Sus scrofa: one gene and its partner. The protein of the gene in region 1 interacts with the protein of each later gene in a pairwise test. Links are inferred from orthologs where the notes say so. Each region holds a gene or a part of one and is shown in the gene's direction. Other genes may lie near its edges.

Region 1 (3,518 bases):
CTCCCTATTTCTAGAATAGAGCCTTTCCACTATAGTGGAGTGGAAAGAACAGACGTATGGAATACAATAGACAGAAGCTATGAGGTATAGGATGGGCCAGGTCTTGGCTCAACAGTTTTCTGCTGGGTGACCTTGGACCAGGTACTGAGCGCACTCCCCCAGCTTAGGGTTCCTGCCCTGGGCAGCAGGAAGATAACCTTGGGCTAACTTTCATCAAGTTATTGTGAAAATGAAACAAAGTACGCAGTTGTGCATCAGAGCTTATGTGTGTAATTAGTTTACACCACCACTGTTTAGGTCTAGCCTTCCCTTGGGAAAACCAGTCTAGGGTGGACTTTCTAGAAAAGGCTGACTCCTAAATTTTACTTTAATTGCCTTAATTCACATCCCAGACAGCTCATCCCACTTCAGGGGCTGCCAAGTTCCAACCTCAACAATTCCAGTAAGTAGATCTAATTTTAATTTTTAACCATATAATGTATATAAAGGTTTTTTTTTTCTAGTGGTAACTAGGACATAATCTACATGTTGCCTGATGAGAGTTTATTATACAAATCCTCCATTTCCAGGACTTGTTCTAATTAGAATGATTGTGGAAAATTTTGAAGACCCTGTTTTTTTTTTTTTTTTTGCCTTTTTTATTGCGGGGGGGGGCTGCAACTGCAGCATATGGAAGTTCCTGGGCTAGGGGTTGAATCGGAGCCACAGCTGCCAGACTACACCACAGCTCGTGGCAACACCGGATACTTAACCCACTGAGCGAGGCCAGGGATCAAACCCTGTGTCGTCATGGATACTAATCTGGTTCTTAACCAGCTGAGCCACAACGGGAACTCAAAGGAGGAAACATGTCAGAAACTATATAATGTTATTTTTTAAAATTCAGGCATAGTATATCTCACTTAAATTAGTCGTAGCTGTGGCCACTGGCCTTACCACAGCCACAGTCATGCCAGATCTGAGCCGTATCTGCAACCTACACCACAGCTCACGGCAACGCTGGGTCCTTAACCCACTGAGCAAGGCTAGTGATCGAACCTGCGTCCTCACGGATGATAGTCAGATAGTCAGATTCGTTTCCGCTGAGCCATGATGGGAAATCCTATTTTTTATTTTTTAAATTTATTTTTTCACCACACCTGTGTTATGTGGAAGTTCTTGAGCATGGAATCAAACCCACGCCACAACAATGACAACCCCACATCCTTAACCACTAGGCCACCAAAGAACTCCTGCCCTTCATTTTTTTTTTCAATGCCTGAGTCAGATCCCATTGAGTGGATACAGTATAATTAGTTAATTACCTAACTAGTTATATATAACTTCAACTTCCATTAATTATATAACTGAATTATATAACTTCCATCTTTTGGCAATAGTTATTAATGCTTGGGATTTAAAGTTTTGAAAATTTTTTCAGATTATATGCTTAAAGTTGTAGAAACAAATGTTGAGGGGAAGGGTATAAACATCTCTCACGTTCTTGAAACATACTGTTAGGTTGCGATTTTTATTTTTATTTATTTATTTATGTCCTTTTAGAGCCACACTCCCAGCATATGGAGGTTCCCAGGCTAGGTAGGGGTTGAATCAGAGCTCCAGCTGCCAGGCCTAGCCACAGCCACAGCAACGTAGAATCCAAGCCTTGTCTGTGACCTATACCACAGCTCATGGCAATGCTAGATCCTTAACCCACTGGGCAAGGCCAGGGATTGAACCTGCAACCTAATGATTCCTAGTTGGATTCATTTTCACTGCGCCACAACGGGAACTCCTAGGTTGTGATTTTTTTTTTTATCACTCAAATGAATTTATCACATCTGTAGTTGTATAATAATCATAACAACCCCATTTCACAGGATTTCCATCCCACCGCCCAAGCACATCCCCCCACTCCCCCAAATTTTATTTATTTATTTAGGTCTTTTTAGGGCTGCACCCGAGACATATGGAGGCTCCCAGGCTAGGGTCCAGTTGGAGCTACAGCTGCCAGCCTACGCTACAGCCACAGCAACTCGGGATCTGGGCCGAGTCTGTGACCTACACCACAGCTCCTGGCAACGCCGGTTCATTAACCCACTGACTGAGGCCAGGGATTGAACCGGCGTCCTCATGGATGCTAGTCGGGCTTGTTAACCACTGAACCACAACGGGAACTCCTAGGCTGTGATTTTTAAATTGTACTTATGTGAGATTTCTTTTCTCCTTTAGGTATACTCGGGATAATAATGTTCTAAGCCTAGAACAGAGACAATTTTATGAAGAAAATGGGTTTCTTGTCATTAAAAATTTGGTATCTGATGCTGATATTGAACGCTTTAGGTACAGTAACTCTGTTTGGTGTTTTACAGAAATATGTGTTAGGCGTATATAATGGGACTATGAATAAGATTAGCTCATGTGTGTTCAGATATTTTTCAGGAATTGGGTTTGTTGGGAAGTGGTGTCAGAACCTGGGTTCAACCCAGACTGGCTGGCTTTAATCTTAGTCCTATTACTTAACACTCTATGCCCTGGGCTGTTTACTGCACCTTCCCCTGACTGTTTTCTATCTGCAAAATGAGGGAAATAATGTACTCATATCATATTTTTTTAGGACTAAATAGGTAAAAGAGAGAGTACTTTGAACAGGGCTGGACACTTAGTAGTGCTATGGAAGTGTGTGCTGTTTTATTCAGATAAAACCAAATCACCAGTATTTTCCCACTGGTTTGCTAAGCTCAGGAATATCTGAATTCCAGCCTTGCAATCCAGAGGCAGGCCCTTCCAAGTTGGCCATTTTCTCCTTCCTTTCATCAGAACTATTCAGTCTGGGGCTGGAGGCCAACTTAATGCAGAGAAACCACCCCCAAACCTTCGAGTCCTTCCACAAAACAAGATCATGCAGGTGCTTGGGGCCAGCGGTGATGACATCATTTGCCAATTTAATTTTCTAGGGTTCAGTTTGAAAGAATCTGCAGAGAGGAGGTGAAACCACTGGGATTGATGCTGATGAGAGATGTGTCCATTGGCAAATCTGAATATGTTCCATGTGAGAAAATGGTCTCCAAGGTCCAAAATTTCCAAGAAGATAAGGAGCTCTTCAGATACTGCACCCTTCCTGAGGTTCAAGAACGTCTCATGTTTTCTTTCTCTTTAACAGCCCACCTGCACCCCTGCCTCTGCAATCTTCTAATTTTATTTTTTACTTTATCTAGCCCCTTTCTCCTGGGGCCCTAGAGCTGTGGTGGATACTTGGCACTGTCTGGAGATATGTCTGGTTGTCATGCAGGAGGATATGTGCTGCTGGCTTCTAATGGGTAGAGGTCAGGGATGCATTCCTGAGGCCCAGGGATGCGCTAAGGCACAGAGTCACCCCTTCCCCCAAACAAAGAATTATCCATCCCAAAATATCAGTCGTGCCAAGATTGAGAAATCCTGCTCATAATTTTGCAAATTATTTTTGGTTAAGAAGAGCAGGAATTCTGTGGCGTTTCCACTGTGACGCAGCAGAAATGAATCTGACTAGTAGCCATGAG
Region 2 (3,518 bases), on another chromosome or scaffold:
AAATAGATACTATTTCTAGTAGGAAAGCTTGGGTACTGTTTAATTACAAAGATGTCAGTTTACTTTTCCCTGAATTGTTTTCAGAATTTGTTGGTGACAGGGGCAGTTGATTGTAGTTTGAGAGGCTGGGACTTGAGAAATGTACGACAACCAGTATTTGAACTTCTTGGTCACACGTATGCTATTAGGAGAGTGAAAGTAAGTTTTTATCTTTTCTTTTTATACACAGAACAAAAATATAATATATAAATATAATCAATGATGTAAATATTAAAGATGTTTAGGGGATGAGGTTACTGATTCTTTTCATGTATGTTTTTGTTATCCAGTGGATGATAATGAACCTTGAAAGCTAAAATAAGGTAAATTATTGGAATAATTATTGAATGAATTAGAACAGTATAGTCAAGCGGTACTTAGAATTAAATAAAAGTGCTTTTCTCATCCTGTCATCCCCATTCTACTGTTCTTTTTAATATTTTTAACTATAGTAATTTACCTTTAGTATTACATTATTTATAATTTCCCATTCACTGGGACACTCTCTGTTGAAACTTACACAGAGAGATGGTTAATTCTTTCTTTTTCCTAATGTGATTATATTTGTGAATGTTCATAGAAGTTTCGGGTATAGAAAATTTTCCACTTTGTAAACAAAAGAGCTTGAAGTAATTTTTTCTGCTATTCTCCACCCCCCAATTTGTCAGGTTGTAAGGTGACTTTTTGTTTCCCAGTAAATTTTGCTAAGTCACTGTGGAAAATAATCTTATTAAGGGACATCTCAATTTCATTCTTCATTTTCTACAGTAAGGATAAAAAAGCACCTTTTTTGATGCTTTCATTAAGATAATTATGTTATTCCTATTTGAAAAATTTTAAATTGTATTTAAGTTAATATTTTAAATTTTACTGATTACAACTCAACATAGGCACCATAGTGCCCTGATTTTTTCTTTTAATGGCACACTGGTCTTAGTAGTCTTATATATGTATTGCATAATACTTCTGAGAATGAAATAGGGTAATGTAGTGAAAGTTCTTTACAAACTATGAAGAACATTCAAATGTAATTATATACTATTAAAATACTGTTAAGAAAAGCACTAAAGAAATAAAATTGCAATGAGTAGCCTATTAAAACATGTCAATTACTCGTATATTACTTGTCTTTAACGTTTCGGTTTTTGACCTTGATATACTTTTCGTTATGTCATATACAAATAACATAAAAATTATTAAAATTTTGTTAACATGTAAGTGTTTACTCGATGCTTGTGCTAATAGCAATCATATATATTCACAAAACTGGTAAATTAGATAATTATGTATATGTGTTATTATATACTTAAATCCTTCATATTTGTAGGAATTATTTTTGGAGAGCCAATATGAAATTGTATGTAATTTTTCCAGAATAGCAACATTTTAGGAATACTTAAGTCTAAATAGGCTTTAAAAAGCTTCAGAGATGATTTCCTTTGAAGAATGTAAAAACAACTGTTTTTCCTGTAGTGGATACTTAAAAGGTTAGATGATTTTTGCCTTTAATTAAAGCATAGAAGGTTTGGAAAAGCATAATTTTAAGCAACAGTCCTGACTGAACTTGAATGTATTATAATGTTCATGGGAGTGACCATATGCAGAGGCATGTTATAATTACAGTAAACTTTTTTTTTGTAGTTTTCACCATTTTATGCTTCCGTGCTGGCTTCTTGCTCCTATGACTTTACTGTAAGGTACAGTGATTTTTGATGTGTTTCATTTTGAAATACAAGTACCACTTGCATACTTGCAACTTTTATGAAGGATAATCATATGTTTATCTGACTAATATAAAAATAATCTAAGCTGGGCACATTAATTTGCCACTGGGTTTAATATGTTTTTCTGTTTTTATGATTTGGCCACATATATGAGTAAATTCTTTATTATTAAAAGATGAGTTCGACTGCTCTGTTTAAAAGCTTTTTTCCCTGACAGTTGTTTCTAGAGTAATATCTTTCTATGCTATAGATGTAATAGCCAATATCTTTTAAATTCAGATTTTGAAAACTTTGACATTTTATTTCTTCAGGTCTAATTATAAATCTTAAGGCTAAAACTGTTATAGTTGTATGTTTGTGAATGTATGTATGAGCGTGTATGTATATGTGTGTACATGTATTTCTGTGTATGAATATATGTATATATGTGTGTGTATCTATATTCATACCCCCAGTTCTAATCCCACTCCACACAGGGTTCATTCTACTTTTTTCCTTTTCCAAATTTTTATTTTTACTTTTTTTAGGGCCAAACCCCCGGCATATGGAGGGTCCCAGGCTATAGGGTCAAATCGGAGGAGCTATGCCTGCTGGCCTACGTGCTACAGCCACAGCAGTGCCAGATCCGAGCCACATCCACGACCTACACCACAGCTCACGGCATCGTGAGCAAAGCCAGGGATAGAACCTGCATCCTCACGGATCCTAGTCAGATATAGTTTCCGCTGCTCCGTGATGGGAACTCCTAACTCTTGATTTTTATTATTCATAACATATCTACTTGTTTGCTACCGTAGAGTGCTCAGAAGGTAGTTTTGGGGATCACTGTATATCAGTTCATAGAAATCTTTCTCATTTTATATAATACTCCATTATGCAAATGTACTATAGTTTTTTTCATCTACCCTCCTACATATGGGCATTTAGCTTGTTTCAAATTTTATAAATAAACAGTACTGCAATGAATAATCTTTTATGTGTATATGTTCACATCACAAGAGAATTAACTTGAGTATATTCATAGAAATGGGGTCCTGGATTAAAAGGTAAATACATGTATATATGGTTTTGCTAGATACTACCAAATTCCTATCCTTAAGTAATATTATCAGTTTCCATTCAAAGCAGCAGTATTGAAGTGTACCTGTTTGTCTACCATTTAAAACTCACTGATTCTTTAGGGGTTTTCAGGTTCAAGATCATATCATTTACAAACAAAGATACTGTACATCTTCAATTCCAGTTCTGATACCCCTAATTGATTTATCTAATTGCATTGGCAGGTAGCTCTATTACAATGTTAAATAACGTAAAGGATGCCCTAATTCTTGTATTAGTAAAAAAAATGCCTTTAGGGTTTCCCTGTTAAAAGTAAGATTCTGGCTTTAAGACAAGTACATACATTATTTATCGTGCTGAGAAAGTATGTATCAACTCCTGTTTTCTTGAGTAGTTTGTTTGTTTTAGCGTGGAAAATGGATGTTAAGTTTTGTTGAAGGCTTTATCAGCATCTGTGGAGATGATCATGATTTCTCTTTTGGGAGCTATTAATATAGTGTGTTATTTTAAGGGATGAACCAACCTTGGATTCTTGGACAAAATCCATCTTGTGTTTTGTGTATCATCTTACTGTGGTATTGGAGTCTGTCTGCTAATGTTTTGTTTAGAGATTTTGTATCAGTATCCAAAGATGATATTGGCTTTAGGGATTTTTTTTTTTCTGTTTCTTTAAAAAAAAAACTGCTTTGTGTATCA

What was found.
Region 2: the proteins of PHYH (region 1) and PEX7 interact in a two-hybrid assay, tested with the Homo sapiens proteins (2 studies listed by BioGRID, with this or other methods). The link is inferred for Sus scrofa from reciprocal best matches to the Homo sapiens genes PHYH and PEX7.

What each region holds. Positions count from the first base shown.
Region 1 is NC_010452.4:48,407,287-48,410,804, forward strand, and holds part of PHYH (phytanoyl-CoA dioxygenase, peroxisomal), read left to right. Parts: intron 1-392; coding exon 393-442; intron 443-2,211; coding exon 2,212-2,322; intron 2,323-2,936; coding exon 2,937-3,105; intron 3,106-3,518. UniProt on the Homo sapiens protein: Catalyzes the 2-hydroxylation of not only racemic phytanoyl-CoA and the isomers of 3-methylhexadecanoyl-CoA, but also a variety of other mono-branched 3-methylacyl-CoA esters (with a chain length of at least seven carbon atoms) and straight-chain acyl-CoA esters (with a chain length longer than four carbon atoms).
Region 2 is NC_010443.5:27,312,017-27,315,534, reverse strand, and holds part of PEX7 (peroxisomal biogenesis factor 7), read left to right. Parts: intron 1-84; coding exon 85-198; intron 199-1,680; coding exon 1,681-1,736; intron 1,737-3,518. UniProt on the Homo sapiens protein: Receptor required for the peroxisomal import of proteins containing a C-terminal PTS2-type peroxisomal targeting signal. Specifically binds to cargo proteins containing a PTS2 peroxisomal targeting signal in the cytosol.